Linked DNA regions of Diceros bicornis minor. The protein of the gene in region 1 purifies or fractionates together with the protein of each later gene. This does not show direct contact. Links are inferred from orthologs where the notes say so. Each region holds a gene or a part of one and is shown in the gene's direction. Other genes may lie near its edges. The genes, in order: DDX21, RRP1B, CDK9 and C1QBP.

Region 1 (7,925 bases):
ATTATCCAGGGAAAGTATAGGAAAAGAGGACAGAGGAACCCAGAGGCACACCAATGTAGTTACTGCATAGCAGAGGAAAGGGGATGCCATTGAGAAGGGATGATGATAAGAGGGCAAAAAGCCCGGAAGTGTGAGGCTTTCAAAGGAACTGGAAGACGATCCTGAAATGGCCACTGATTTTGGCAAAAAGGAGACGTTTGACATGGGGAGCAACAATATTAATAGAGTGTAAGAGTAGATGCCATTTAGCAGTGGGTTCAGCAGGAAATGGGAGTTAAAGAAGTAGGGACAACAAACATGAACAGTCTTCTAGAAATTGGGCTGTGAATAAGGAAGAATAAGTTAAAGCTGGCTGTAGAAGAAAGGACAGGAGGTTGCAGTGAGAATTTTGTGTGTGGTGGGAGGAGATGAGGGAAATTTGAGCATGTTGAAATACTAATATGGGAAGGAGCCAGAAAGGAGGGAGGGGGAAAAAATATATGATGGAGCAAAATCCCTATGAAAACCCAGAGGGATGAGATCAAGCACACACTGGAGATTTTAGCCTTAGGTGGCAGAAGCACATCTCTAACGTGTGATTATCATGTAGGTGAGTTTGCAGGTGTCAAGGTATAAAAAGCTGAGAGAGTGCCTGTCTGATGTCTTCTATTTTTTCCTGTAGTATTCTTGCATGGTCATCTACTGAGGGTGAAGAAGGAAGTAGTAGGTTAGGAGACTTGAGGAAAGTGGAGAAATGCTGAGGTATCAATTATTAGAACAAGATGGAGAACTCACCAGGCAAACTGAGGGTCCCAGGCAGCTTTGGGGGTCCAGCTGAGATTAGAGACTAAATCTGTAGTGGCGGCAGTTAGAGTGATTGAGTGATTTCCTATAGCAACACTCAGCTTTCTCTTGTAGGAATGGAGATGGGAGACAGTTGATTGAGGGTTGGAGTTTTGCTCTGAGATGAAAGGATGACAAGGTGAAGATGTTAAGGACTCTGCAAAAGTGATTTGAGTAATGGTCCATGGAGTCCAGACTGCCTAGGGGTTGAAGTGGAGATGGGGTTGATAAGAGGGAGAATGTAGAAGGGGCAAGGGATTAAGGTCAGTAAGGGCTGTCTGAATTTGAGATTTCACAACTGGAGCAGTTGGGGAGGAGAAAGGTGCAGAGTACGGTAGTAGGTTGTTGGGGGCAAAGGTTATTTCAGTTGAGGTGGTCCAAAAACTGAGACGCCAGGTGTTATATGGGTGATTTTCATGGACAATGAAGTCTCCTAGAATGAAGACAAACCAAGACTAAGGAGGGAGAGGAAGACTAAGCCAGGTGCCAAAATATCAATGAATGGGGGAGGTTGGTAAATTACCTGAATTAGGAGGGGTATGCGGTGATACTACCACCTACCTTCAAAGGGACAAGGGTATTCACATGAAAGTCAAGGAGTAATAGTTTGGAAATGGCCTTGAAAGAAAGAGGACACTGCTACCAGGGTACATAGAGTGTGAGGGAATGAGCAACATATGTGTGAGATAGCTACAGGGGAAATATTTTTCAGGAGAAGCCAGATTTCAGTTAAGCCAAGGAAGGAGAAAGGACTCTCAGTGCTGGATTGAGAAAGGGGGAAATTTTGATTATGGGGAACGGCGTTCCAGATAACTATGACTCGGGGGAAAGAATCTCAGTTGGCTGTGCATTTGAGTAATTGTGAGCTCTGGATTTATAACCAAGGTGAAGTAGGGGCTCCATTCCTACTAAAGTGCATGAGTTAGAATATGCTGTCTTCAGTTAGAATATGCTGTCTACCTACAATGTCCCAGGGACTATGTTTGGGGTACAAAGGTGAATGGAGTACCCAGTCTCTGCACTCAGGAACTCAGAATCTAGTGCAATAGATAGACACATAAACTTAGGTCCATAGCAATGACTAAATGCAATGATTTGAGAGCTCTGCACAAGGGCACCCAGCCCAGCCCAGGAATGGGGGTGGGGATTCAGAGAAAGCTTTTTGGACATGATGACTGAACACGAATTAAGTCAGGTAAAAGAAATGGGGATGTGGGAATGGGCATCCAGGCAAAGGTACAGAATAGCTAATAAAACTGTTAACAAAGTCTAAGTATGGTAAGCTAAGTAGCTCTTGTTGCTGGGATCTTCACTATGAGGAAAGCAGTGGTGAAAACATAGCAAGAGTCATATCTTGGAAGGTTTCTTAGGCCTTGTGTTGGACAGCCATTGAAGGGTTTCAGGGAAGAGAGTGAACGAGATAAGCACGTAGCTAAATTCCAGCAGGGTGGAGATGGACTTAAGGGGTGCACTAGCTAAAGGCTGGCTTCTCTATTAGCAAGGAAAGTGGAGCAAATCCTAACAAGATTAAATAATAACTTTCCATATCTTCTGGAAGGAGGAACCGGGGCAAATTCCTAACCAAATTCTCAGCTTTGGGCTGCAATCAGCCACTTATCTTTACTCCTTCCTCATAAAGCCTAGCACCTTCATGACTCCACTTTTGGCTCTTCAGAGCCTCCTGTTTGGTACTCTGTGCCTAGTGTGGTCACTTAACAGCTATTTGAACTTGAATCAGTTACCCTGATCTTCAGTTTTTGAATTTGTAAATAATATCTTTTATTCCCTTCAGCATTAGAAATTTGAATAATGAATTCACATTTTGGTGTGAATGTCCAAGAGCCTCTTCTCACATTGTTTTTGTTTTGTATATTTTGGGGGTAGTGCTTAATAAGTTTTTTAAAACCATATTCCTTTTTTTAAATATTAGTAATATATGTCCATTGTTGAAAATTTTAAAAAACGCAGAAGCAAATGGAAGAAAATAAAAACCACCCATAATCACATCACTCAGAGATAATTACTGCCAACATTTTTGTTGTGTAGACTTTCAAATTCACTGCATGTATGTGTGTGTGTATACATACTTTTTGAAATAGAAATTCTCCCAATTATATGAAAACATATTACATCATCTACATCAGAGGAAACTGGTCTGGCAGAATCAATATTCAAGCAAAACTTCACATTTCCTATCAAATGTATATAAGACCCATTTCTTATACTTGTTACTGAGTTTTATACTGATGACTAGATTTAATACAGTAATTTGGCCACCTTTGAGCCAAAAAGGGCCTGTTGCATGTTTCTTCTTGGAATTTTGGCCTCGTGCCTATGTGTAGGAATGTTAAAAAGGAACTTACATACTTTATAAGCCTTGACAACAATTTTCCATTTACTCTCTTGTTGAACATCTGTTGGTAATAAAAATGTCCCTGTACTGTTTATAGCAGTTATCACCTACAGCAGTATCACGTAGTTTTGTGGTTTATTAACCAGACTTCAGGTTCCTAATGCCAGGATGATTTAATTGCTTTCCTGCCTGGGCATATAGCTAAAATTTATTTCAAGGGGTTCCTTCCCTCCCCTGACTCCCCACATTGCCATTTTAATGATCGATCAACATTTAGTGACAGGTTATTATGTGCCAGGCACTGTCTGAAGTCTTAAGGATACAAGGATAGATAAATTAAGGCTCCTGGCTCAAGGATGTCACAGAGTTAAAGCATTGTATATTTATGTATATTTACATAAATTTATCTGTTAAATTGAGACTGTGAAACATCAATAGTTCGTGTGAAACATGAAATTTTTCCTTTAAGTGGTCAGACCTGAGTTTTTTTTGTTTTCTTTTGCTGAGGAAGACTGGCCCTGAGCTAATGTCCGTGCCCCTCTTCCTCCACTTAATGTGGGACGCTGCCACAGCATGGCCTGACAAGCAGTGCGTCGGTGCATGCCCAGGATCCGAACCCTGGCTGCCAACAGTGGAGCGCGGGCACTTAACCGCTATGCCACAGGGCTGGCCCGACCTGTGAGTTTTAATAGCTCTCATTTATTGTGCTCTATGTGCCAGGCACTGCTAAACCCTTTTCATCCATTATCTTAATTTTCTCAACCGAAGAAGTAGGCTTTGTTATCCCCATTTCATGCATGAGAAACTCAGGTTCAGATTAAGTAACGTACAAAAATCACAAAGCAAATAGTGCAGGTTTTCAAAGCCCGGCCTGATTTCAACCCATTTTTAAAAAAAAGATTTTATGATGAATTGGCTCCCAATTCTTTGGATCACTAGTTCTTCACAGGAAGTTTAGCCACGTTGTCATAGATCATTCAATGGACCACTCCTTCAACTGCTTGAATTAGTATATTGTCCAAATTATGCAAGACTAAGAGCGGTATTTTCTAATAGAGGTCCGTGTGGTTTGGCGCCCCCTTCTCCTGGTCTCAAGGAAGGTTTAAGTGCCTCTCTCTGCCTTTGGAACAACTGATACTCCTCCATCTCCCACCAATCTATAAAGCTTCTTGGAGACTAAGGCTTGTGTATTGTCTGTTACTGAATCCTACCCGTTTCTCATACCTGACACGGTGAATGCTCGGGGGATGTTTGTTGAGTGCACGCACGAATGAATGACCAAGCCCGACTGAATTCTAGTTCCTATCCAGGCCTGTGAGTCTGGGCGTCTCTTTCAGTGTCGACGTTTCCACAAGACGATCAAGAATACACACCTCGCGTATGTGCGCGTGAAAGGATCTTGCAAACTCGAGGAATCTAAAGCACTGAAGAGGCGCCATTCAAAAGCAACTACAGGTCTTCATTTATCAGGCCAGGGCTAGCGAGAATCCGGCCAGTGTTTGAACGACAATACAAGGCCAACCTCTGCGGTTCCTTCCAGTTCTGCCTTTCTGTAAGTGCCTTCTAGTCCCGGCGCCGTAAGCAGTCCATTCACCAAGCGCAGCCAGCAAGAGATGCCGGTGCTTTGCACCTACCACGTGGGCCCCGGCCTCCCTGGGGCTTCCTGCTTCCGCAGGAAATGCTTTGTTACGGGAAGTGACGAAACTGGGTGGGCTGAAGGGGTAGGACAGTCTCTTCCTCTCCACGCGGTGGACGAGAACAGTCGGCTTATCCATCTTGTGCTGAATGATGCCGGGGAAACTCCTTAGTGACGCGGATTTGGAATCAGACACGGCCATGGAACAAGTGGAGATACCGCGAAAGCAAAATGAGAAGGTACGCTGAGAGGAGCGCGGCCGCGGGGTCCGGGAGAGGAGGGGTGCCGGGGCTGGAGCGCGTGGCGCGGACCCGGCTCGTCCGGAGCCCGGCGTGGGTCTCGGCCAAGGGCGCCCGGGAGTGGTTCTCTCGCGGACGGTGGGCGCGCCGCCCGCCCCACCGAGCCCGCGCCGCCGCGCGCCGGCATCTCGCACGGGGAGGCCGGGGCGGGTCGGAACTGGAGAGAGGCCGGGTGTCCCACGTGGTCCCGGAGTCGGGGCGCCCGGCACCCGGTGCGCAGAGTTGGCCGCTCACGGTTAGGCCCTCCGTTGTTGGCTCAGGCTCAGACCCAACTCTGGGCGTGAGCGTGCGCGGAGGGGATTGTAAGTCATGTCAAGGTAGGGACTGATGCTTTGGACTAGACTAGCGAGACCTTCAACCCCTCGGCACACGTGGGCGGCGCCTGCGGTGACATCCCTTTTACCCTGGAGAGGGAAGTACAGTTTGTGTTCCGGTAAGCAGACCTTAGAAGACGAAGTAATTCAGTTCCTCTTAATGTTTATTGACCAGATTTCCCGTGGAAATGTAAGGACGTGTTGTGGTGCTAAGTTTACTCCATATCTTGATATAGGCCAGTCGTGTGCAGTAGTCTTAAGTGACATTGTTGATGCTTCCTTAGATAGTGATTTAACTTGTGACTAAGTCTCTGTTCTGAGATAAGGTCAGTGGGAGCAAAGATTGTCCCTCAACTGTTGTACGTGACTTAGAGGTTTTTTTTCTTGCTGTTTGTGGGTCTTTTTGATGGGGAGCTTTTACAACAGCAATATTTTGGCGTCGTCGGAAGCCAAGGGATCGCAGATTTGTCGGCACAGGTGGGGAGGAATTGGTCCTTGTTTACCTGCGCTGTATTAGCGAACCTGTTCAATTGTGTGATGCTCAAATTAGAAGGGACATGACCAAACTCCATTACATTCCAAAAGAGACCACCGGGATGGGAAATCCACTCTTATTTGATGGAACCAAGGGATGAAAGAACTGAAGCCTTGCAGGGAAGACCGGATTATTTTTCAGATGCCTGAAGGACCATCGTGTGGGAGAGATTACTCTTCATACTTGATTTGAGAGCAGAGGCCAGACCTGAAGTTTCAGGGAGGCAGATTTCAGCTCAGTGTAATAGTCTCCATACTTCTGGGATTGGCCTGGAGCTCTACCAGAGAGGTTTTAACAGAGGCTCCAACACCTGTCTAGTTGTTTTCAGTAATATGAAAAGTTGGAGTGGGTCAGACATTTCAGATACGAGCCATAGTCTGGTATGGTTTTGATGTTTCACCCCTTCCGTTTCCTTGTAATTTGTGCTTTTTTCCCCCTTCTTTAAATTAGGTACATCTTTTTTACACATGGAGTGATAGGTTGTGGGGTTTTATAGCTTTTTGTTCATAAAGTGTCTCTGTAAATGCGTTTGTGCTTGTGAGATAGACAAGACATATTATGAATCACTGTTGTACAGGAATTCTGCAGAAAAAGAAATCTGCTTAACATCATCCATCGGTGGATGTATATGGCCTGTTACTCTATCAGAATTAAATTAAGCTGTACAGGATGACTTTCAATAGTAGTATTTACCGTAGAGCCTGTTAGAGCATCCCATGAACCACCCCAAATCCCTTGTGAAATTTTGACTTTACAACCTGTTCAACCAACATGAATCGTTACCAAGAGGCATTCTCTTCCAAGCTAATGAAATTACTGATATATACTTATCTCTGTATAACTAAGAAATGGTACTAAAAAACATACTGTTTGATTTTTGCCTTATTGCAAGGTGAAAGTACAAATGTTGAAAAATGCCCCAAAATTGTGTTCTTCATAATTATGCAACCTTGAAAGAATCCAGAATTGATGTACTCTACAAATGTATAGATGCTTTGTTCAATGTTTGTATTTTCTTTATTAATTTTTTAGAAAGGTAGAAAAGAGAAGCCAAAATCGAATAAGACTGAAGAGGCAGCAGGAGAAAAGGAGGAAACTATTTCCCCCAAAGCTAAAAAAGCTAAAAAGAAAGCAGGGCCTTCTGAGGTTGACATAAATTCTCCTAAATCCAAAAAGCCAAAAAAGAAAGAGGAGCCATCTGAAGACAGCATTATTTCTCCTAAAACCAAAAGTGTGAAAAAACCCAAGGGGCCTTTTGAAGAGAAAGTTGTTTCTCCTAAAACCAAAAAAGTAATAAAAAGTAAGGAGCCTTCTGAAGAAGAAATAGGCGCTCCTAAGCCGAAGAAGATGAAGAAAGAAAAGGAAATGAATGGAGAAATTGGAGAGAAAAGCCCCCAACTGAAGAATGGATTCCTTCATTCTGGACCTGACTCGAACTCCAGTGAAGCTGCCAGTGAAGAAAGTAGCAGTGAGTTAGAGCAGGTAAAGTTGCATTTTAATAGGTGGAGTGTATCTTTCATTGTTTTTTAAGAAAAATAAATAGGTAATCACTACATGTATTAATTATGTAGTAATGGGAGGAAATTTGATGTGTCAGCCCTTCATAGGGGTCCGTTGAGCTGCAGGGTGAAACTTCATCTTAAAAATTGCATGGTGTCTGAATGCCTCCTTTGCAAATAAGCACATCTTTTTAAGTTTAGGGAAAGTCTTCTCTCCACACTTGGTCTGCTTATTTGCAAGTCAGAAATCAACAGGAGGGATATAGTTATGCGAATAGGTGCTAGCTTCCCTCTGAGGGGTTTCACCAAATAAATCACGATTAAGTGGCACCACTGAAAAGGTATTTGCTTGACTGCATAAGTCTTTTTGTTCAGGCCATTAACTAACTTGAGTTGAACAAGATGATTTAAATGTCCACTTGGAAGCTAATTCTGTTACCTTTCAAAAACTCAGTCATTAAAGAAAA
Region 2 (7,717 bases), on another chromosome or scaffold:
CTCATGTGTGATCTCCTCATTGCAACGAGCCAGTAAACTTGACCTCGTCCTTCCTGATGGCTGTAGGTTGATTAGGCTAGGACAAACATTTAGATTTTGAAAAGACTGTGAAACAGCGAGAAGAAATGCCAACTACGAGTTAGATACAGGGCCCCAAGCCTGGAGGAGAGGTCTGGGCTAGAGATAAATCTAGGAGCCGCTGGCATCAAGATGGTAACTGAAGCTATGTGTGTGCACAGACTGCCCACAGAGAGGCCGTGGAGTGAGGAGAGGAGGCCTGGGCATGAGCCTCAATCAACACCGCTGGCTGAAAGGCTGCTGCAGAGAAGGAAGAATCAGCAAAGCTGACTGAGAAGTGGCCAGAGACCAGTGGGAAAAGAGGGGACTCCACGGCCTGAGGAAGGCCAGGGACGGCGAGGCAAGATCTCCTACGGTCTAACGTTGATCAAGTCACCATAGATTCATTTGTGGCCCTCTTTTGGAAGCTTCATAAGTTGATTTTGGCAGACGATTGAGCTCCAAAGACTGACTTGTGCTAACCAACTTATGAGACCCTGATGAATTTTTCAGAATGCCAGTTTATTAATTTGCAGTGAGAAATATAAGCACCTTGCAGGCTGACTCTGCTACTGGTCAGCACTTTCCCTCCCTGAAGATAAACGAATGCGGATGACCAATTGCTCTCAGAAGGTTGCTGGATGAGCACGGGATCCAAACTAGGGAGGTTAAGACAATGACCTGGAACTATGGTAACCAGTGACATGGAGCATACCCAGCAAGGTTCCAGTCTCCAAATATGACATGGAGCATATCGAACATCGAGTCTCCAGATGTTGAGACTTCATGGGAAGGACTACTTACAGAGGGGAGAGCAGGGACAAGAGACCCAACAAGGTATGGTGAGGCACCCAGGCACTGGCAACAGCCCTCCAGCTGAAGTTACAAAGGGAGAACACAGCATTACTAGAGCCCAGTGAGAGCTGGGACTGTGGAGGAGGCCCCTTGGTGGGAGACACCGCTGTGGAGGGAGCAGGAGGAAACATCCCAACCTCTCTCTCCGCCCACTGAGGCCTTCCATTGGTGAGTACTGGCAGCCAGCAAGGAAGCCAGAGGCACGGTCTGCAGGAATCCACCTCCCAGAGCACACCAGAGGACAGAGCATCTGAGGATTCCAAAGAGAGAATGAACAGGGCAGGGAGCTATGATAACCACAAGCACTCTCCCTTCTAACTGTGTATGGCTGCCCCCTTGACCAGACACATCTACACAAAGCAGAAATCTTACTGCTGATTCCAGACACCTTTTTGTCTGGACTAGTGCTAGAGACCCGACCTGAGCCCCCCAGATGCACCTGTTCTAGAGGTCCCGCGGTAGTTAATGGCGAATAGTTAAATGCAGTGTGGTGAATCAGCCTTAACCACCAAAGGCTGATTTAACTGGCAAGTGCTCCATCAATCCCTGAACATCTCCCAGAACTTCAACAGGCTCCCAGACTGACATCTGACATAACGGCTCAGCTCAAATCTCAAAATCTTAATGGACAAGAACCAGCAAGCCTGAACTTGAATCAGTGCTAGAAGCTGACCCGTCCATCAACCTAGAGACAAGGAAACACATCTAACTACCTCTACAGACACATTCAACTCCACGCAAGTTTCCCCATGCCCAGATCCTTAACTTATACGTTTTTGGAGTAGAGCTTTTCAATTATAAAAGTACCGTTACATGTTGCTTAACGACAGGAGTACGTTCTGAGAAAAACACCTTCAGGCGATTTCGTCATTGTGTGACCGTTAGAGAGTGCACTTACACAAACCTAGACGGTATAGCCTACCACACACCTAGGCTCCATGGTACTAATCTTATGGGACCACTGTCGTCCATGTGGTTCGTCATTGACCAAAAGGCCGTTATTCAGTGCATGACTGAATAAAATTCTTCTGCCAAGGAAAAAAGGTGGAGAGAAAGAGAAACTGGTAACAGATATTCCTAAAAGCTGGCAACTCTTCCTCCAACACAAACTTACACCTGTCCAAAAAAGTTATCCATTTGAGGGTCCCTCCCTTTCTTATGCCTTATCTGACTCTCCCAAAAATAATTACAAGGATTATAACAGTACTTAGAATTTACTTACAATTACTTTATAGCAATTTACATAAGGTAAATCTGCTGAAACAGATGTCTGTCACCATCAATGACTGCTAAAAATGAAATAAAACTCACTTTTTTCCATAATCTTTAATTTCTGGAAGCTTTCCAGTACCTCCCCATTCAGTATCCTGGGTAAGAAGTCCTGGATTTGCATCACCTCAGTGGTCAGCCGTTCCAGATCCTTCTTTCTGACTTTAACGAATTCTTCCTTAGTTCCCACGTGCTAAAAAAGCAAGCAGATTTTAAGATTACATTTCCTTCAGATCACTAGAACCCGCAGCCCAGGCCAGCTTGCTTCCTTTTCTTCAGGGCCTCTTGAGTTCATAATTGTTTCAAAAGCACGTCTTCACCTAAAGTGCCCTCTGCTATACACGTCATATCTTGAGAGCCGAGCCCCAGCCTTCAAGATGGGAACCAGTTCCCTTTTCTCACAGGCACATGAGAGAAGCTCTAATCCTGAAAACCAAAGAGAATGCCAGCATCTTCCTGAACGTTCCAGCGCCAGGCTAATCAGGAGGGAAGGACGTTTCCTGGGTTCCCACTGGGCGCCCAGCCCTTTGCTGGTCATCTCATTTCGTGGTGTTCACCTCAGCCCTCCGAGGTTGTCCAGGTTGGAAACCAAGGCCTGGGGAGGATGGGTGGCCTTCTCAAAGAAACGCCATTAGCAGGGGGCCGAAGCAGGATGGGAACACGGATCTGCCTCTGGGGTCCGAGCTCCTCCTAAGTCACTGCAGTGACGCCACTACGAGCACTCAGGGGACACTGGTCACCCGTGAAGCCGCATTCTCCCGGAGCACACCCGAGCCCCAGCACAGCGAGGGGCCCTACGGGGCGCGCTGGCTCCGGCGCCGTCGCCTCCCGCTCGGTGCCCACCGGCCCGCCGCGCCGCCCCCACCCCCGTCCAGGCCACGCTGTCCACCCACGAGGCCCAGGCCCTTCCCGAGCGTCCACTGAGGCGCGGGGTAGACAACCGCAGCAGCTGCGGCGCCGGGCCCCCTGACTGACCCGGCAGGCCTCCACAGTCTCCCCGGCCTCGCCCATGGCCGCCACGGCCTCGGCTCCCTGCGCCTGCGCGGCAACGCGCCCTCTGACCTCACACGCAAGAAAGCGCGGGAATGCGTCCACGCCGAGGGGTCGAGTACAGAGAGCCACGAGGCTCAAACTTCATAGAGTTTGCGCAGCGCTCTCAGTCTCGGGGACTGGGGGTGGGCTCGGCGAGATCCCGCATCGCTCTTCTGGCTCAGCCGGGGCTTTAAACTTGTTAACTGCAAAGCAGGACAGTGAGACCCAGGATTAAGTGTCAAATGAGATAAATCGAATTGGCCTTTCTTGTGTGTCTAGGGATGCTAGACTAAGGGGCGATGCGGTCAAGGGAACCACCACCCACGCGGCTGGTGACCACTCTCACCCGCTTGTCTCTGAGCCCCATTAGCAAAGGTCGAAGCTTTCCGACGACAGCTCCTTGGGGAGTCCGCCCCCCCAGGGAGCTTTAGTCCAGTCGGCTGGCTAAGTAACTGAGATGACCACCTGAACTTGGAGACGTCACCGGGTCCATTCTCTTGCCCCAATACGCCCGCTGAGTTCGCGAAACATGGTGCATGCAGCCTGTGGGTTCAGGCGTACCCAGTTACCGCACAACTAAGACCATCCGTCTCGGAAACCCGCAGGAAGCCGACACTGCCCGAGCTCCCGGAGTGCGTGCTCTCCAGGCCTGAGGGCAGACTCGCAAGCACACGCTGCAGATCCCCGCCCTGCCCCTGTCCAGGAACTCGTCCTTGTCCTTGCCCCTGCCCTAAGACCTGCCCCCGCATCAGGACCTGCCCTGCACCTGCCATATCCTGACCATGCACCGGGACCTGCCCTGCACCTGCCATCACCTGACGCTGCACCAGGACCTGCCCCAGCACCGGACCTGCCCTGCACCTGCCATATCCTGCCCCCGCACCGGCCCTGCCCTGCACCTGCCATATCCTGACCCTGCACCGGGACCTGCCCCCGTACCTGCCTCTGCCCCCGTACCGGGACCTTCCCTGCACCTGCCCCGGGACCCAGATGCTGGAGGGTGCTGCCTCTGCCGGCAGTAGAGGCCCAGGGCGGCCCATCGATGGAGCTGCCCTCAATATCACGCCAAAAATCCCAAGGACGGCCCTTCTTCCCAGTCTCCACCCGACCGAGGCGGGCCAAGGACTCCAATGCAACTAAAAACCCGTGTATTTCGTAGGACAGCTGCCTATCGGATGGGGTTTTTGTGGAGAGAGCTTAAAGATTCTAGACCACTTAAAATTGGCCATCCGTCTCTTCCTGGCCAAGACTCAACGCTGGCTTAGCTCGCCGTCAACGGCCCCGAGCTTTGACGACCTAAAGCCCGCGGAAGGGCGACGGCACCACGCGAACCCACGCCGGGCCGCTCCGCCGGCTCCCAGGTCGCGCTGCGAGCCGGGGCCTCCATGACGCCATCAGCGCGCGCGCCGCCGCCCGCGCCGCTTTCTGCGCAGTCGCGGCCCGGACGGCACGGCGGCTGGGGTTCGGCGGCGGCAGCGGGAGGTGGAGGCGCGGCGGGCTGCGGCCGGGGATGCTCCAGCGCACGCGATGGCCCCCGCCATGCAGCCGGCCGAGATCCAGTTCGCTCAGCGGCTGGCGTCCCACGAGAAGGGCATCAGGGACCGGGCGGTGAAGAAGCTGCGCCAGTACCTCAGCGTGAAGACGCAGAGGGAGACAGGTGGGCGCCCGGCGGTTAGCCGCGCCACATGGCGGCCGGGCCGGGGCCGGGGGAGCAGGGAGAGGGTCGGGCACCGGCTCGCACGCCTGCCATTCGCCCCGGTGTGTCCGCACCGTGGGCACCGCTGCCTGCTGGGTCTAGTCCGGTCTTACGGTCGAGGGGCTGCGGCCGCAGGGGTCAGGTAGCCTGCTGAAAGTCACAGCGAGGGGAGAAGCCGAGAATAGACCCAGTCTGCCTGGCTCGGAGCCTGCGCCTTGAATCGCTAGACTCAGCCCGATTTTTTTCTGGTGTGCTCTTCATTGATTCGCGCCTTCGTGTGACCGACGCCTTTAGATGCTGGGGTTCCAGGAGAGCAGACAGAATCCCTACCCTCGAGGAACTTCTGCTAGTAAAGCTAGGGGGCGTAGATAACTAAAACCGAGCTCGTATGAGTGCAGGGGCGGAAATGGAAGTCAGGGCAGGAGGGAGCTCCGCTGCATAGGCAGTTCCAGGAGAGCCTCTCCGGGGTGGTGGTCAGCAGATCTGAACAGAGGCAGGAGGGAAGAGCGGAGCATGCCCTAGGAATGGCTGGAAGACCAGTGAGTCAGGGAGGGCGATGGTACTTTGACATGGAGTCGGAAAAGTAGGCAGTGGCCAGGTCACACCGAGCTTTGTAGTTTGCGTTTTTAGTTCAGTGGGGTGCCTTGAAGGATTTCATTTACCTGATCCAAAATACATTCTGTAAACCCTTGGGTGAGCACATGAGGTATGAACTGCACTGTGGATAGAGGTTTTATGTTGCGCTAGGAAAAAGTTTGATTCACTTACTGCTAACAGGAATACATTTAGAGTATACTTGAAAAAATAGATATCTCCTTGTTTTACTTATGAAGCGAAATCACGAAAGACTACCCAGGAAAAAGAAAATGCAATTTTATGCGAAGTCTGCTAGAAAGAGGAATGAAGACCAGAATTCTTGACTTCAGTTCTATTAGGAATCTCCTTGAGAGATTTAGTTTACTTTGATGGTTTCAGGTATCACATATATGCTGAAAGTTCCTAAACCTAAATTTCTAGCCCAGACCTTTGCTACTTTCAGCTCAGCTATTCCCTACTAACCTGACATCTCCACCTGGATGTCCCACAGGCACCTCAGATGCAGAATGCCCAAAAGTGACTCATTTTCTTCACCCCAAAACCTATTCTCTTCTGCTGCTGCCCTGCCACCTGTGCTCTCTTATGTTGGTTGCTAGTTCCCACCATCCCCTCAGACTCTAGCTGGACACAGTATTGTCCTGGACTCTGCTCTCCCTCATCCTCTCCCCCTGCTCCACGTCCAGCATCCCTTGGTCCTACCTCTTTTGTCTCCTGAATTACTCTGTCCTGACCAAAGGCTCTCTTTATCTCATCTAGACTCCTGCACTTTCCCGCTTCCCCACTGATCTCCTTACCTCCATTTGTCCCCCCTTGAACTTGTCCTCCACAAGCAAGCCAAGAGTCTTCTTCCTAAAACACCACCTTCCTGGAATCCCAGGCCTGCAGATCATGATCTGTCTTCCTTTTCTCTTTCCACCTCAGCGCCTATGTGACTGCTTCTCGCTCCATCAACAGGAAGCCACTCTTGGTTCCTGGTGTACAGTACACCATTTCTCACCTCTCTGCCTTTGCTTCTCTTCACTCCAAAAAGATTCCCACCCTTGATCCACTCCCAGCATTCAGTTCAGTATCACTTCCTCCAAAATGCCTTCCCTATCATCTCACCCCCACTCCTCTAGGATTCTGAAAGATACAGTATGTCTCTATTGTAGCACTTAGCTACATTGATTCTTAATTATGTGTTAATGTGTCATTCTTCCCCCAAAACACTGTAAGCTTCCGTCTGTTTTCTTAGCTGAAAGTGGGAGCATATCCAGGCATACGAGGGCCTGACTGTATACAAGAGCAGAAGAAAGACCAGATGCAGTACATATGGAGCTGAGACAGCCAGACAGGCCTGTTGCTCAAACCCCTTTGCAGAGCAAGCCCAGGATATGAAATGTATGTTGAGGCGACGCGGGAGCGTGAGGCCAGTGTGCTTACACCAATGCCCCAGAGTCCTGCCTGGTTAGCGCCCATCACACCTAGAGTTACTTGTCTTGTAACTCTTGTTCACCACTAGATCCACATTGCACAGAATATAGTGGGCCTTCAAAAAAGGATCTGCAAAGTGAGTGTTATAGACGGTGATGGTGGGACAGATGAACAAGGTCTCTGCCACAGCTGTGCTCTGTCAAATTAGAAACACGAGTTTGGAAATAACTTGGCCTGACATTTGAATCTCATTGGTAGGCTGAAATTTTTTTGCATCTTGTCTAGGCATAGTAAAGGCAATCTGAAATTTTACTTACTGATACATGTAGCCGTCCATCGTAGGTAGCTTTGTGATTTTGAAAACAAATTGGAGATCTTCGTAGTGCTTAAAGCAGCTCAGTGTTGCTCTGGCGCTTTAACTGCTCGTGTGGGGCCTCCACGGTCATAGAACGGTCACTGTGCATGGTTTTACTCATTAGGGCTCATTGGTCCCTGTTTATTCATGCATTCATGTCTTTGGCAGTGAAAACACAGAGAAAAATCCCTGCCTGTTTGAGCAATTCTGCAACTTTAAACATTTAACATCTACTAGAATTGGGATATACGTTAAAGTCAACCTGTGACAGTTTCATTTGCATTCTTGCTTTCTTTTGGGGGCACGTGAAATAGTACATCTTACAGTTGGTGGTGTCTTAGATTCAGTGCCAGTAATAGGGGAAATAAGTGTTTTTCTTACAATAGGATTAGAGGTCTCTCGACCCAGTAGTTAGAGCTAAGAGCTGTGTGTGTTTTGACACT
Region 3 (7,095 bases), on another chromosome or scaffold:
GGAGGATGAAAGGAGCAAATGTTGGCCCAGGCCAGTGCACTGTGGCCTCAGCAAACCCTGGACTAGGGAACGGCGGCTGTTGCTGAGGGATGGGGGTGGTTCAGGCCAGGAGCAGACTGGCACTGGCCAGGAACACCCCGGAGCAGGCGCATGGCGTGAGAGCCGGGAGTCCTAGCCCCGGCCCCGGCGCGGCTGTGTTGCCGTGGTGGAGGTGCCTTGTCAGTGCTAGGCTGGCCCTGCCGTTGGCCCGGGCGCCAGGGCAGTTGCCGCGTCCCTGGGAGGATGAATGGGGCTCAGTGTGGCGGCTCCGCTGAGCTGAGAGCCCCCTTTGTGCTGCCTTGAGTGGCCGTTGGGAGTGCGGCTGGGGACCTGCTGGCGGGTGGCTGTCCCGCGGGCCCTCCTCAGCCTGCGCTGGAGGCCAGCCCAGCCCAGTCCACGCTCTGCAGCCCTGAACACACAAGTGCCTTCCTGCCCCCAGGTCTTTGCTTGCGCTGGACCCACACCTGGATGCTACTCTTCCCTCCACTGGCTCCATCTTTTGCTTCCATGGAGTCTCTGCAGGTCTAGAATGAGCCATAGTGTCCCCAGGAACCCTGCTCTGATTTCTGTCCCCTCCGTCCTTGCCCCTCTCCCTCAGTCTATGCCTCAGTTGCCTGGTTTGGCCAGGAACCATTAGGATTGGAGACCTTCAAGTTCATAGTCAAAGGCATTGGCCCAGGCAGACCTGAGTCCAGACCCCACCTGCATGACCTTGGGGAAGTGACATCACTTCTCTGAGCCTCGTTTTTCCCATCAGTAAAATGGAACAAATACAACATCTTCACATGATCCTGTAGCGATGAAATAAAACATTTGTACTGAGAGTGTCATCCACGTTACAGACACTTTGTTTTCATGGCATGTTCCAAGCAGACCTCATGCTCCCTGAGAGAGAAACTAGCCTTATGCATCCACACTGGCCCCGTGCCTACTATGCTCTTGGTCTCAGTCGATGCCTTTCCCCAGCTCGACCCAGTTGTCTGTCCTGGGGGCGGTGTAGGATGATGGTAAATGACCCTGGGCTTTGAGAGCAAAGAGACCTGGCTTTGAATCCCAGCTGCAGAGCTTCCTGGCTGTGTGGCCTTGGGCAGGCCTCTTTACCACTCTGAGCCTTAGTTTCCTCTTCTGTAACTTGGGCCCAATAATAGCAACCTCCTAACAGGAGTGCTGGAAAGTTCCAGGAGGATGACACATATCAACACTGCCAGGCACAGAGTCAGTACCTGGCTGATGTGGGCAGAACATCATGGTGTTACAGGGCTCAGGGCATCACACAGCCATGCTCAGTCCTGAATCTCTATCCAGTGACCCCTTGTCCCCCAGATGTATGAGCAGCCAAGAGTAGCCCACCCATGAGCCTGTCTTCTCCTTCCCTCCATATGCCCCATCCTGTCTCTGCTCAGGGGAGGAAAATCGAGAGTTCAGGCCAGGGTCAAACAGCTGGCTAGTGGCTCCCGTTCGTACTCCGTGCCTCAGTTTCCCTACGTGTTAAATGGCAGCAGGACCAGGCGCTCTCTCAGAGCCTGGCCAGCCAGTCAGCAAACATTTACTGAGTACTGGCCAGGTGCCTGGCCTTGCCAGCTTAGCCAATCCATGGGGCAGGAACTATTTCCCCCGAACCAGCCAATCAGATGTCAAAGTCAGAGAGAAATTGTCTCTGGCCAGGACCTAACTTCTCACTTCCACGTGGGCGATCTGGGCCCCAGGCCTGGGCAGCCTGGGCAGCTTTCCGGAGGGCTCCGGACCACTCCTGCCTGCCTCCCTCCATCGGGCAGGGCTGAGGGCCTGAGGCTCCAAGGGGAAGTGACTGGCGGATGTTGGGGTTCAGACCAGGGATGGCAGGGTGGAGGTGATGACACCACCGGAACCCTCTGCTGAGGCGTCTGCCCACAGGATGTGACTTAGGGAGGCTCGTGGGAAACAGGCAGGGGCCCCAGCCTGAAAGTTTCAGGGTAGAAGCCACCAAAAACCATAGCAGACCCCCCAGTGCTACCATCCCCTCCCACACCTCCCATGGGCAGCCAGGACACCAAGCCCAGCGGTGCTCCGCCCTAGCTGTGCCCCAGCTCCACCTCCAGCCTCCACGGGCGGGGTCCTGACATGAGTAAGTGCTTGGGGTTTGTGCCAGACTGACCTGGTTCAAACACCAATACGGTCACTGGCCAGCTGTTTGACCCTGGTCAGGTGATGTCACCTCTGAGTTTCAGCGTCTATACGTGTACAATGGACGTGGTAATAGTACCCACCTCGTATGGCTAAGAATTGAGATAATTCCCATGAAATGCTAAGTGTACAGCTTAGACCATTTATTTTCCCTCAATAAATTGTAATGACTACAATTATTGTTATTTTCTCCCTCCTTGCCCTCTCCACCCCCAACTTAGCCAATGGCCTCTCTGCTTCTAATAGTGTACCCATGAAGCTGACCCCAGAGCACTCCCTGACACCACACTCAACTGCCTAAAACCCTCGCTGGCTCCACAGTCCTCAGGAGAGGGCTCCCTGCTCCTCACCTGACCCTCAAGGCCCTCCCTAGCAGGACCCTCCCCCAGAACGGGGTCTCTGGGGACACGAGGATCACCAGATCCTTCAAGGCAAAGCCATGTAGGGTAAGAGCTGGGAGGAAACCCCAAGGGCTTCCCGCAGTTGGAGAGGGTACTGGGGTGCAATCAGAGAGCACAGCCCTGAAGGCGGGAAGGCCAGGGAGTTAGGAAACAGGAGGGAGATTCTGGTGGCCACAGCTTGGGAGGGAGCTGGAAAGAGCTTCAATTATCACAATTTGGTTTTTCCTCAAGACAGTGGAGGGAAATACATGTAGACTCCACTTCAGAATGATCTAGTGTGCTGTGAGGGGGACAGATGGAGAGGCCAGACTGGGGAGGCCAGGACTCAGGATCCATCAGCAGAGGACTGGAAAGGAGGGTCAGATTGAAGGGTCACAGAGGAGGTAGGAAAGACAGCTTTGCTGGGGGCTGGTTGTTGAGTAGAGTTGGAGGAAGAATTGAGAGGATCCTGGAGCCAGGAAGGTATGAGAAAGATGCTGGGGGTTGGTGTAGAGGAAGGGGGCACAGGGTCAGAGAAGAGATGGGTGAATGGTGGGCTTGGTGCCTGGCATAAGGACCACAGGCCTCAAACACACCACTGCTATACTCCTGGCCAGACTGTAAATAACCTGAGTCGGGAGAATCCTTTACAGATTCAGACAGACCAGGTTCGAGTCCCAGTTTTGTCACTGTGTGACCTTGGGCAAATGACCTTGCTTCTCTGAGCCTCAATGTCCTCATCTGTAAAATGGGTTAGTGATCCTGACTATGGGGCTGTTGATTTAGGATTCAGCGGAACGCCCAGCACTTCCTGAGCACACAGGGGTGCTAAGTGAATGCTAGCTATTTTTGTGATTACTGATCCGGGCGCAACTCGGCGGGGACCGGGGTCCTGTGGGTCTCATCCCTGCCTCCCAGAGAACAGGGGGTCCAGGGCTGGAAGACCCGCGCGTTACTCCCTCGCCGCCTTCAGTGTCGCCGCGCCCCCTGGCGGCCGTCGGTTGCCATGTCAACGGCGGGTGGCTGGGGCCGGGGGAGGCGAGGCGGCGGCGGGGGCCGTTCTCCCTCTCAGGACCGGAGGCCGCTCCCTTGGCGCCTCCTGCCTTCGCTTGTCGGCTGGGGGGGGGGGGCACTCCGAACCAGAGAGGAAGGGGCCTCTTGCGGCAGCTCGCGTGCGGGGGTAAACTGAGGCACGCGGCGAGGCGCCCCGCAGCCAGGTGTCGAGCGCGGGGCCCCACCTCCGAAAGCGGAGGAGGGGCCGCGGGCGGTGACGCGCCGAGGGCAGCCGGCGGACAGTGGGCTGGCGGGCGGCGGTGGCGGCGGCGGCGGCGGCAGGTGCGGCCGCGGAGGGTGGGAGGGAGGAGAGAGGGGGCGGGCGGAGGGGGAGGGGAGGGCGAAGCCGGGGCACCTCCCCCTTTATAACGCGCCCCCTCCCGGACTCTCGGGCCGCCTCCTCGTCGGCTCTTCCCGTCTCGCCCCCTCGCCCGGCCGCCCCGGGCCCGGGCCCGGCCAGGGAGCCCCCAGGCCGCGGCTCGGGGGCCGCCCCCCCGCCCGTCGACCCGCGCAGCCCGGCGGAGGCGGCGCCGTCGGAGGAGGAGGAGGAGCAGGGCACTGCGGCTGGCCCCAGATCGGGCGCCAGAGCGGCAGCGGCTTCGGCAGCAGCAGCGGCCCGGGCCGATGCAGCGGGACGCACCGCCCCGAGCCCCAGCCCCGGCGCCCCGGCTCCCCGCGCCCCCGATAGGGGCCACCGCCAGCAGTGGCGGCGGCGGAGGCGGGGGCAGCGGCGGCGGCGGAGGCGCCTCTGCAGCTCCGGCTCCTCCTGGCCTCCCGGGAACTACAAGTCCCAGGGGGCCTGGCGGCGGGCGGCGAACGGAAGAGGCGGGGTCGGCGCCGCGAGGCCGGAAGTGGCCTTGGAGGCGGAAGTGGCGCGGCCGCGGAGGGGCCTGGAGCACGGCGGCGGGACCCGGAGCGGGCGCGGCGGCGGCGGCGGCGGCTGGGGGCGGCGGCGGCGCGCTGGAGGCGGCCATGGCAAAGCAGTACGACTCGGTGGAGTGCCCTTTTTGTGATGAGGTGTCCAAATATGAGAAGCTCGCTAAGATCGGCCAAGGCACCTTCGGGTAAGGCTGAGCCCCGAGGGACCGGGAGCCCTGGGCCTGCACCCCTCAGGGCTGACGCCGGGAGGCCCTGGGCCAGGTCCGAGGTGGTCGGGAAGCCACCGAGCCCCAGGCTTGTGCCTTGCTCTCGCTAGGCCGCGCCGCAGCCCGCCGGAGCCTGACAGAGCCGGCTGGCGGGGAGGAGCCTGAGGCCCGTGCTGGGGGGCGGGGAGGGGTTGCAGAGGGGAGCCCGTGAGGGGAGCGAGATCTTTCGGAGAGACGCCCGGGTGAGGAGAAGGGACTCAGGGAAGGAAGTAGAGGCTCGGAGAGGGGCCGCAGATACCGGGTGGTGAGGTAGCTGAGCGCCCTGGGTCCCCGGCCCAGCCCCGCCCTGGAGTCCCTTCTTTCCTGCTCTCCTCCTCTGCGGGGGGAGGGGCGGGCCCTGCGGAAGCGGCCTGATGAGCCCTCCTGGGTCCCCTTCTCGGCCTGCAGGGAGGTGTTTAAGGCTAAGGACCGCAAGACCGGCCAAAAAGTGGCTCTGAAGAAGGTGCTGATGGAGAACGAGAAAGAGGGGGTGAGTACGGGTCGGGACGGCGGGCCTGCCAGCTCTCCTGGGCACGGGGTTGGGTTTCCATCCAGCGTCTTCGAGAACTCTCACGTTGAGATTCACTGTATGTGCGGCAGTTCGGGAATTTCCATATCCCAGGGAATTTGACTTCCAAATTAAATCTTTTAATTCAAACATTTTAAAACATTTGATATTTCATTCTTAGGTAAATATGCTTGGGGCCAGGAGGGGGAGCTCATGCTTGCACTGAGTGCAGCTTGGTTCCTGAAGTTAGGTGGCCTTTAAACACTTGATAGCATGCAGTTTTGTTCAATATAAAAAAAACTACATGCAGTACCTTTAAAAGGATAACTAGTGCTCAATTGAAAAGGAGTAACCTGGTTGTGTCCCCTCTCTCCCATCTTAGCTCTAGTCCAGCTTCCCAGAGACCTGCTTCTTAGCAAGGAAATTTTTCTAATAGTTATTTTTGTTGGTTTTGTTACCAGCCAGCAAGTTAAACACAGGCATAGAGCTAAAATTTGAAGGTTAAAGAAACTATGAAGCATTTAGTGATTAGTAGTAAAGTGTTCGTGTTAAGTACTGCTATTTGAATTCATTGTCTTAAACCAGCTCCTTGAGGGTGCATACCGATCTTAGACCTATTTTACAGCTAAGGCATCTGAAAGCTGATTTCAGAGCCTGTGATTTTACTCTGTCTCCTAACCTGTGCTCCTGAGGACTGATCTCATGGCTGGTTCCTTGGTCTGTAATGTGCTCACTCACTTGTGACCCCCTCCTGTCGTTCTCCCCCTGCAGTTCCCCATTACAGCCTTGCGGGAAATCAAGATCCTCCAGCTTCTAAAACATGAGAATGTGGTCAACTTGATTGAGATCTGTCGAACCAAAGGTAAGTCTCTTGGATTTCATCGCTTTTTTCAGACGGAGAAAATGAGCCTTGCAGCCTAAGGCTGTGTTTGCAAAGTTGGAACTGGACACGCCTCACTTGCCTGTTCTTAACCCAGACATACCAACTGTGACTGCTTTCTCTGGTCCTTTCATCGTAGCTGGTGCTTCCCCAGGGCCTGCCACAGCACCTGGCCCAGAGGAGGCACTCAGGAAATACTTTACCAGTGAAGGAATGCACAGCCGGATGTCCGGGTGTCCATTGGTTGGAGGGGGTAGGAGCTGGTTGTGGGAAAATGAGTTGCATGTGGGATTCGTAACTTTCTTTTTCTTGCTCCCCTCCCCCGATTCTTCCTGCCTCAGCCTCCCCCTATAACCGCTGCAAAGGCAGTATATACCTGGTGTTTGACTTCTGTGAGCATGACCTTGCTGGGCTTCTGAGCAACGTCTTAGTCAAGTTCACGCTGTCTGAGATCAAGAGGGTTATGCAGATGTTGCTCAACGGCCTCTACTACATCCACAGGAACAAGGTGGGGACCAGAGTGGGAGAAGAAAGGCCAAGGCTTGGGCTGACCTTTGCTCTCACTGCTGGGTGGGTGTGGCTAAAGGACCCCTGGTAACCTGACTGAGCCCTCAACCTTGTGCTTCCTGCAGATCTTGCACAGGGACATGAAGGCGGCTAATGTGCTCATCACCCGTGATGGAGTTCTGAAGCTGGCAGACTTTGGGCTGGCCCGGGCCTTCAGCCTGGCCAAGAACAGCCAGCCCAACCGCTATACCAACCGTGTGGTGACGCTCTGGTACCGGCCCCCGGAGCTGTTGCTCGGTGAGGACTCCCGAGCGGGCAGAGGGGGGCAGGGACTGGGCACTTACCCGGCCTCACCCCCCCACTGCCAGGGCTTCCTGAGCCGCTGGCCCTGGGACATTGCGTCTCAGGAGGCCCTCGGGCTCAAGGGGCCCTCCTGGTGCG
Region 4 (8,014 bases), on another chromosome or scaffold:
CACCACTGTGGCCAGCAGGTAAGGTGATGTGACCCACTCAGCAAGTGCTGTGGAGCAAGGAGAGGGACTGATGACTGACCTCTCACCTCAGAGCGGAGGGGCTTTCTGTCTCCCAGGAGCAACTGGTGAAGGCACAGTCGTGGAACGGGCTAGGGAGGAGAAGGCAGTCGATTTCGGAGGACCACAGGATGCTCAGGATGGCTCATTCACGGCTTCACTATTGGAAGTTTGCATTGTTTTGCTGGGGCAGGAGAGACATTGAAGGTTTCTGAGCAGATGAAGAACGACTGAGCTGTGCTGTAGGACAAGCGGCAGAGTGTGAGCTGAACTGGAGTGAGGAGAGGATGAGTAGTCAGAGGGAGAGGGAAAGCCCTTTGCTTCCTGAGACATCCTGGTGGATGTTTCGGTGAGGGAGTGGGATGCTGGCTCACCCAACCTGTCTGTAGTGTGGCAGCTTAGATGGCTGTCTCCCTCCCGGTCCTTCCTCTCCCAGGCTGCACTTTCCCTATTTACAGTCCGCCCGCCTTCAGCTCTGCCTCTGTCCCACCCATGCTGCTCCCCGAGGCATCTCAGGTAACCACCTCCTGTGTCAACCTCCACTTCATTAGGCCTGCACTATGGGCTGTGTTTTAGGTGTGGTTGCTCCAAATACCATGTGCTGCTGAGCAGTAATGTTTGGGCTCTTCCATTTCTCGCTTCCCCCTGAAACAGATGTCGATGCCAATCACATCATCCCGCGGAGACACGGAGAGCGTCCGCCGCTGCCTGGCTCACAGCCTCTTCATGAGCACCGCCGAGCTTCAGCCGGACGGGTCCTATGCCACCACGGACACCCACCAGCCGGTGGCCATCCACCCCTCGTCTGTCCTCTTCCACTGCAAGCCAGCCTGCGTTGTGTACACCGAGCTGCTCTACACCAACAAGTGCTACATGCGGGACCTCTGCGTCGTGGACGCCGAGTGGCTGTATGAGGCTGCCCCCGAGTACTTCAGGAGGAAGCTGAGAACCGCCAGAAACTGAGCCGGATCTGCTGGTGCCTGGAGCTGAGACCATAGCTGTCCACATAGCTGACTTCCAGGTTGGCGCCTAGAGAGGTGGCAGGTTTTGATGTAGCGGAATGTGCCTGATTTCCAGGAGCTCGAGAGCGTCTTTGTTTAAACCCTGAAGACTGAACTGTGTAAATGTGTACATACCATTTTTACCTTGGAAACTTCAAAATTATGCTTTCGGTTATTGCTGGGTGACTTTAGGTGACTTAGTTAACTTCTGAGCCTCGGTTTCCTCATCTGCCAAATGAGGGTAATAATAATACTTACAGGGGTGGACTTATGAGGTTTACAGAAAATGAATGCAAAGTACCCAGAGCTGTGCCCGGCCTGCGATAAACATACGATGAATTGTGAGCCCTTATGCCCGATGTTATCGCTTTCTCCATGGTGTTAGTTGAGTACAACAAAACCGCCTGAGTTCCTGTGACTGAGAGGGATTTTCTGGAAGGGGACCATAGGAAATCGCAGAGTTGGATGTTGTCCTTGGATCTATTTTAATATCTATCTGTATGAAGTTTTTAAACAGAAAGCATAAGAGATTGACTTCTGTAGAAGTTTCAGGAGGGAGATGCTGTTGTGTCTCACCTAATGGGCTGGCTGCCCCTGTGAACACTCCCCAGGGTGTGGCCCTCTCAGAGACCAGTAAAGGAGTGCTCACAGGACGCTGGGCTGTGTCTCTTCATCCTCGGTGCCTCTCTGGTTCATATCCCCATCTGTGCTTTCAGGAGATGTGGAAGTTTCCTGGGTGTGGGGTGATCTGTATCTTCTGAATCGTGTCAAGTGTAGACATGGGAAACTGGCCTTGTGGTGTGATGCCTCCAGCATACCCAGTTGCCATTTTTCTCTCTAACTGGGCACATAGAAACATGTGAGCACAGGGAATGACGCCGTGCTACATTTCAGCTGTCTCTCTTCTGGCAGGGCCCCTGGGCAGAGGGCCATTGGGAGTGGGGTGGAGGACAGCGGCCAGTGGTCACTGCGAACCCAGACAGCAGTGGCTCGCCCCACCTGCCACGTCTGGCGTATATATTCTTTATTTTCTGGTGTGTATCTTATTTATTTTCTGTGATCTTTTTGTCCTTCTTCTTAGGGACAACCTAGCCTTGCTGCTTCCTAGCCATCCACCCCTCTCCAGGCTCAGTTTCCACATTTGTCAGAGGGAATTAGAGGGTCTCCACAGTCTCCTCCTTTTCTCATATTCTGAGAAGGGAAATGACACCAAAAGTTCTTCTTAGCTATTTGATTATCAGAAGCAAATAATATTTCCCCAGAGAATGTTTTGCCCTAGAAGCAGCCAAGGTTTAGCCCTTTACTTGTGCTACATTGGTCTAAACACACGTGCAATATTTTCGTCATCACTTACAGAGTGAATGTTGCAGTTGACAAGCAGGGGACCAGACTGCCCCAGAGGCTCTTCAGATTGAAGACAGTGGGTTGTCTCTTCCCTCTGGGTCCAGCGAGCTCTTCTCCGAGCCCGCAGCCTGCTGGCCTGCCCCGTCCTAGGTCCGCTCTGTCCAGGCCTGTGTACGTCCGGCTGGCCCAGGCTTTCCAACGGGAGCCGTGGCCTTGAGCAGGCAAGCTTTTAGCCAGTGTTCAAGGCTGTCTGGGTACTTGTGATTTATTTCTGTTAGAAATAGTTACACTTAGGCCGAACAGGATTCGACAGATCCTATATACCCTCTCTTACTGAATTCTTAGACTTTTAGCTGGCTCTTCCTCAGATCGACTTATTCTTACTGTTGCTGACTTTCTGAAAAGTTTTTCAGAAATTTTTTAAAGTGTATTTTTCTCATTTATTTAATAGAGACCTAGGATCTTTAGCCTGACTTAGTAAAAGGAACTATTGTATTTTTAATAAAGCATTCATCATGCTGGTACAAAATTGGGAGTGGGGTGCTTTATTATGTTCCTCAGCAAATTCTCTATCAAGAGGTGTTCTCTGGTGCAAGTAGAATGTAACTTCGGATAATTTATGTCCATCCTGAACAGTCTCTGGAAATGTATATTCTTTCCTGCCTGAGTAAGGGGTAAATAGCTTCTAAGTAAATGTAAATAGCTTCTAAGTAGTTTTAATGTTTCTGTACAGAAATAAGTTTAACACTGTAACATTCTGGTAGAGTTTTAATACAGTAGTTTTTTATTGGGCTTTTTAAAAAGTTAATTTTTAACATACCTGCTCAGGGATTAATTCAGATTGGAAAATCCATTCTGACTCCACTTGTTACTACAAAGAAATAAAGTTATTTCTGTTGAGCTGCAGGGAACAGAACACTTTAAACTTTCTTAAGGAAGTTAAGTGTTTCACAGTGATGTTGCGATACAATCTTGAGCTACTCTTTTTCAATTGGTAAAATCTCTGATGGTGTGACACCTCTTTTTCAACCTGTGAAATCCACCGCTGGGCAAATCACCAGCTCCCATGCGCAGCTTCGTGTCAGGAGATGCGCTCCAAGCAGATCACACACCTCAGGTGTTTGCTCTCTGCTTCTGGTAGTCATGGAGCCTGAAACATCCAGAGCAGCACAGATTTCATTACAAGGGGCAGGACTGCCAGCACTGGTCCTTGGTCAAGACCCCGATGTAATGTCGCATCTCTGCTGGTTGTAAGGAGATGCCAGAATGGAGACACGTTTTTGCTCTGTGGGTAACAATGATAATGTACTGTGATGCATAAATCCATTTAATCCAGCTGTCAGGAAGTACTTGGGACTGTGGCCAGGCATCTTAAGATACCATTACTTGAGCATATAAGGAAACACTGCACCTGTGGGGAAGTGATGGTTTTATTGTATTTTATTTGATTAGAATATTATAACTTGCAGAAGAAATCAAGTTGGTTCAGCTTTATGTTGTATTTTTAGAGTCTGGTCTTGTTCAAAACAGACATAGCTCTACAGAAACATCAGTTCTTGTATATAATGCTCAAATTTGCACATGAGTACCAAGTCCATTAAAAATGAATCTTGTACATGATGTGTGGCTTCTTTTTGAGTCTCCTTTCCCTTCTTCACAGAATGCTGTGTAGAATATATTAAGAATTAGTCTTATCTTGGCCACTAATTTGGGATGACTTACTTTCTTGGTAACATATATCCTAGGTGTCCTGGTAAGGTGGGAACATCAGTTCTTTTTTTAATTTTTTTTGGTGAGGAAGATTGTCCCTGAGCTAACATCTGTGTCAATCTTCTGTTTTGTATATGGGACCCCGCCACAGCATGGCTTGATAAGTGGTGTGTAGGTCTGCTCAAGCATCCAAACGCCTGAACCCACGAACCCCAGCCATGAAGGGGAGGTCACGAACTTAACCACTATGCCACCAGGCAGGACCGGAACATCAGTTCTTAACCTAAATCTGATGGAAGCCATGGCTTCTTGCCTCCAGAAAAATGACGTCCCATCAGAACTTGGGTGCAAGGTTGGAGGGTGCAGAGGGGCAGTGGCAGGAATTAACCAGGGATCCTGCCCTTCAGGAGCTCCCTTGTGGTGGAGGGGAGGGGAGGCTGCCAGTTAACCTCGCGGTGCCAGGAGGTTTCTGCTGAGAGGAGAGTGAAGCACAGGGGCGAGGTCCCACAGGCGTGAGTCCTTATTTGTTTCATAGAAGAGAGGAGGAGGTTCCTGGAAGGCCTCTTAAGGGGGATGACCTTGGAGGCTGGTCTTGGGAGCTGGGAGCGGCAAGAGCGCATTGAAGTCATAGAAAGCCTGGCGTGCTTTGAGAACAGTAGATGGAAATTTGGAGAGCAGCCACTGGAGAGAACTGATGCTGGCAAACTAAACAGCCTTGGACACCAAGCTCGGGCCTGCTCAGCTAAAGTTCAGTTACCGGAGTCAAGGACCCCCCGGCAGAGGGCGCAGTCCCGCCCACGGCGCCCTCGGTCTGCAAAGCGACGGCGCGGAAGTGCTTCCCGGGTGAGGGCGGGACTTCCGGCGGCGCGCTCGGTCAGGGGGTGCCTTGGCCCCGGGCGTCCTCCGCATCCGCACGTGTCTGCCTCCGCCTGCGCGATGCTGCCTCTGCTGCGCTGCGTGCCCCGCTCCCTGGGCTCCGCCATCGCCGGCCTCCGCGCCGCCGCGCTCTCCCCGGCGCTCCGGCAGCTGCTGCAGCCCGCGCCCCGGCCGTGCGCCCGGCCCTTCGGGCTGCTCAGCGTGCGCGCGGGGTCGGAGCGGCGGCCGGGCCTCCTGCGGCCTCACGGGCCCTGCGCCTGCGGCTGCGGCGCCCTGCACACGGAAGGTGAGTCTCGCGCACGTGGGCCGGGGCCGCGAGGGGCAGAGTCTTGGATGGGGTGGGGGCCCGTGGCGCGGGCGGGGAAGGGTAGACCGCGGGTAGACCAGCCGGAGCCGTCGCCCGAGGTCCGGAACGTGTTCCCATTTATTGACAATCAGAGGGTTAAACCCACGTGTGATCACATTTCCCCGATCCTCCAAGTGTTTAATTTTGAGGGGAGAGATACGGTTAAATCTGAAGGCTGACTTTATCCTTAGTCTCTCGAAAGTGGAACTTTGGGAAGGCTCAGGGTGTGGTTAAAAGTAGCGTAGTTATGTCTGTTGGCAAGTGAAAGAGGATGACGGGATTTTCACATGTTGGGGTATATGGGGTAGCCATTCTGGTTCAAAGTGGATTCAGCTTGAACTAAAGAAGCCTGATTTATGGTCTATCAAAGATACGTTGTACATCTGATTTGACCATTAAAGAATGCACTCTCTTAAGAGAAGAATGCATTGGGCCAGCCCCCTGGCTTAGTGGTTAAGTGCTCGTGCTCCGCTACTGGCGGCCCCGGTTCGGATCCTGGGTGCGCACCGATGCACCGCTTCTCCGGCCATGCTGAGGCCGCGTCCCACATACAGCAACTAGAAGGATGTGCACCTATGACATACAACTATCTACTGGGGCTTTGGGGGAGAAAAATAAATAAATAAAATTATAAAAAAAAAAGAGAAGAATGCATACTTCCCCTCCTACGCCCTATCAGTAACGCCTGTATTAGTCCCTTTCCCGCCATCAGGGTCGTGTTGACCTGCTAATCTGCAACTGAATACCTCTTTGAAATTTTGATGAATATGTATCCTGGATGTGTTTAATGTATGTTCTTTGGTCTAAAACGGTTTAAGATTGTATTGAAAACCATGCTTTTCTGGAATGCTTTCTTCCTTTGTGGAAACTGCCTTCCCAGATTATAATCCTCACCCTGGCTCAAGTAAAACTCACCCTACCTCTCTTATCTGTAGAATGGTTATCAGTTATTTTGCATGGTCAGGGTAATTGAGAATTCTCTTGCTTTTGGTGAAACGTGGTAATGGTTCATTGTTCGCAGTCACTTTTGCAGAATTCCCACTGGTGCCGTTAGGGCATTTTTACAGATGAGGACACAGGCTTAATGAATGTGAATTGGACTAAGTTCCCAGGCACCATTAATAGCAGAAGTGTTAGAAACAGTCCAAGTCCAGATTTCTGGGTGCAGTAACAGGTTATTTTTATGTTTCAGACTGGCTCTTCTTTTTCTGTGTCTTATGGCTTTTCATTGTAGGGGACAAAGCTTTTGTCGAATTCCTGAGTGATGAAATTAAGGAGGAAAAGAAGATACAGAAGCATAAGTCCCTCCCCAAGATGTCCGGAGGTTGGGAGCTGGAAGTAAATGGGACAGAAGCCAAATTAGTACGGAAAGTTGCTGGAGAAAAGTAAGTATTGGGGGCCTGCGGACTCCAGGGGACCAAATCCATGACCCCGCAGGACCTGCCCTGAGGCATCCCGGAACAGCCTTACAGTGCTAATGGAATCAGTTTGATCTCAGGTTTACAGTGCTGACTCATTACACTGCAGGCTCTGACTGAGCAAAACAAGGCCCTGCTCTCAGATGTTTTCAGTAGGTGAAAATGCAAGATATGTAACTCACGTGTAACAGGATGGGGTCACAGTATAAGAGCTGCCATTAGCAAGGAGGGGAGCTTTTGACCTAATTCAGCTGTTTAAGTCTATGATCTGTTTTGAGTGAACTTTTTTTTTTTTTTTTGCTTTTTCCCCCAAAGCCCCAGTAGATAGTTGTATGTCATAGCTGCACATCCTTCTAGTTTCTGTATGTGGGACACAGCTTCAGCATGGCCGGAGAAGCGGTGCGTTGGTGCGCGCCCAGGATCCGAACCCAGGCCGCCAGCAGCGGAGCGCGAGCACTTAACCGCTAAGCCATGGGGCCGGCCCTGAGTGAACTTTTGTATATGTTGTGAAGTCGGGTTTTGATTCTTTTTTGCCTAGTGGTACAGTGTGTTTTTCCCCATATATGGGTCAATTTTGTCTGCTGTAACTTCACCTAAACCATTTTCCAAGGGTAAGTCATAGCCAGTTTGGGGCCATTATAAATAATGTTCTAATGAACATAACTGCATTTCTGTGCCCAGGAGCTCAGTTCGGTCAGCACTGTTGCAGATTAGACAGATTTTGTGCTTAAACCTCAAACTACCATTATTCGATGGGAAGTGGCTTCCTGGCAAGGCAGCCACTTAGCGCAGTTACAGTGTGCTGTGTACGCAGAGTGCCTGCTGGAGTGCCACAGCCTAGCAGTGCTAGTGCCACATCTCACCTCGCTGCAGTTTCGACTCAAATTTTGGAACATGAGTTGTCAGATGATTCTTGCACCTTAAAGTTGCCATTAGTGGGGCCAGCCCCGTGGCTTAGCGGTTAAGTGCGTGCGCTCCGCCACTGGCGGCCCGGGTTCGGATCCCGGGCGCGCACCGACGCACCGCTTCTCCAGCCATGCTGGGGCCGCATCCCACATACAGCAACTAGAAGGATGTGCAACTATGACATACAACTATCTACTGGGGCTTTGGGGGAAAAAAAAGGAGGATTGGCAATAGATGTTAGCTCAGACCTGGTCTTCCTCACACACAAAAAAAGAAAAGTTGCCATTAGTTGGTGTTTCTGGCCTGCTTTGTGATGATAAAACTTCCCTCAGCTACTGAAGAATGAATCTGTCCTG

Evidence for each region.
Region 2: the proteins of DDX21 (region 1) and RRP1B purify together in Homo sapiens (affinity purification with mass spectrometry; 3 studies listed by BioGRID and IntAct, with this or other methods). This does not show direct contact. The link is inferred for Diceros bicornis minor from reciprocal best matches to the Homo sapiens genes DDX21 and RRP1B.
Region 3: the proteins of DDX21 (region 1) and CDK9 purify together in Homo sapiens (affinity purification with mass spectrometry; 3 studies listed by BioGRID and IntAct, with this or other methods). This does not show direct contact. The link is inferred for Diceros bicornis minor from reciprocal best matches to the Homo sapiens genes DDX21 and CDK9.
Region 4: the proteins of DDX21 (region 1) and C1QBP purify together in Homo sapiens (co-immunoprecipitation; 3 studies listed by BioGRID and IntAct, with this or other methods). This does not show direct contact. The link is inferred for Diceros bicornis minor from reciprocal best matches to the Homo sapiens genes DDX21 and C1QBP.

Annotation. Positions count from the first base shown.
Region 1 is NC_080745.1:37,067,654-37,075,578, reverse strand, and holds the start of DDX21 (nucleolar RNA helicase 2), read left to right. Parts: upstream 1-4,911; 5' UTR 4,912-4,960; coding exon 4,961-5,050; intron 5,051-6,991; coding exon 6,992-7,441; intron 7,442-7,925.
Region 2 is NC_080766.1:43,112,633-43,120,349, forward strand, and holds the start of RRP1B (ribosomal RNA processing protein 1 homolog B), read left to right. Parts: upstream 1-4,708; 5' UTR 4,709-4,740; coding exon 4,741-4,870; intron 4,871-7,717. Other genes in the region: HSF2BP (heat shock factor 2-binding protein), read right to left, coding at 2,224-2,374, 3,157-3,192. UniProt on the Homo sapiens protein: Positively regulates DNA damage-induced apoptosis by acting as a transcriptional coactivator of proapoptotic target genes of the transcriptional activator E2F1.
Region 3 is NC_080767.1:35,786,533-35,793,627, forward strand, and holds the start of CDK9 (cyclin-dependent kinase 9), read left to right. Parts: upstream 1-4,088; 5' UTR 4,089-4,259; coding exon 4,260-4,699; intron 4,700-5,167; coding exon 5,168-5,249; intron 5,250-6,038; coding exon 6,039-6,129; intron 6,130-6,488; coding exon 6,489-6,655; intron 6,656-6,779; coding exon 6,780-6,951; intron 6,952-7,095. UniProt on the Homo sapiens protein: Protein kinase involved in the regulation of transcription.
Region 4 is NC_080757.1:12,097,413-12,105,426, reverse strand, and holds the start of C1QBP (complement component 1 Q subcomponent-binding protein, mitochondrial), read left to right. Parts: upstream 1-5,009; 5' UTR 5,010-5,048; coding exon 5,049-5,274; intron 5,275-6,568; coding exon 6,569-6,719; intron 6,720-8,014. Other genes in the region: ATP-dependent RNA helicase DHX33, read left to right, coding at 712-1,020.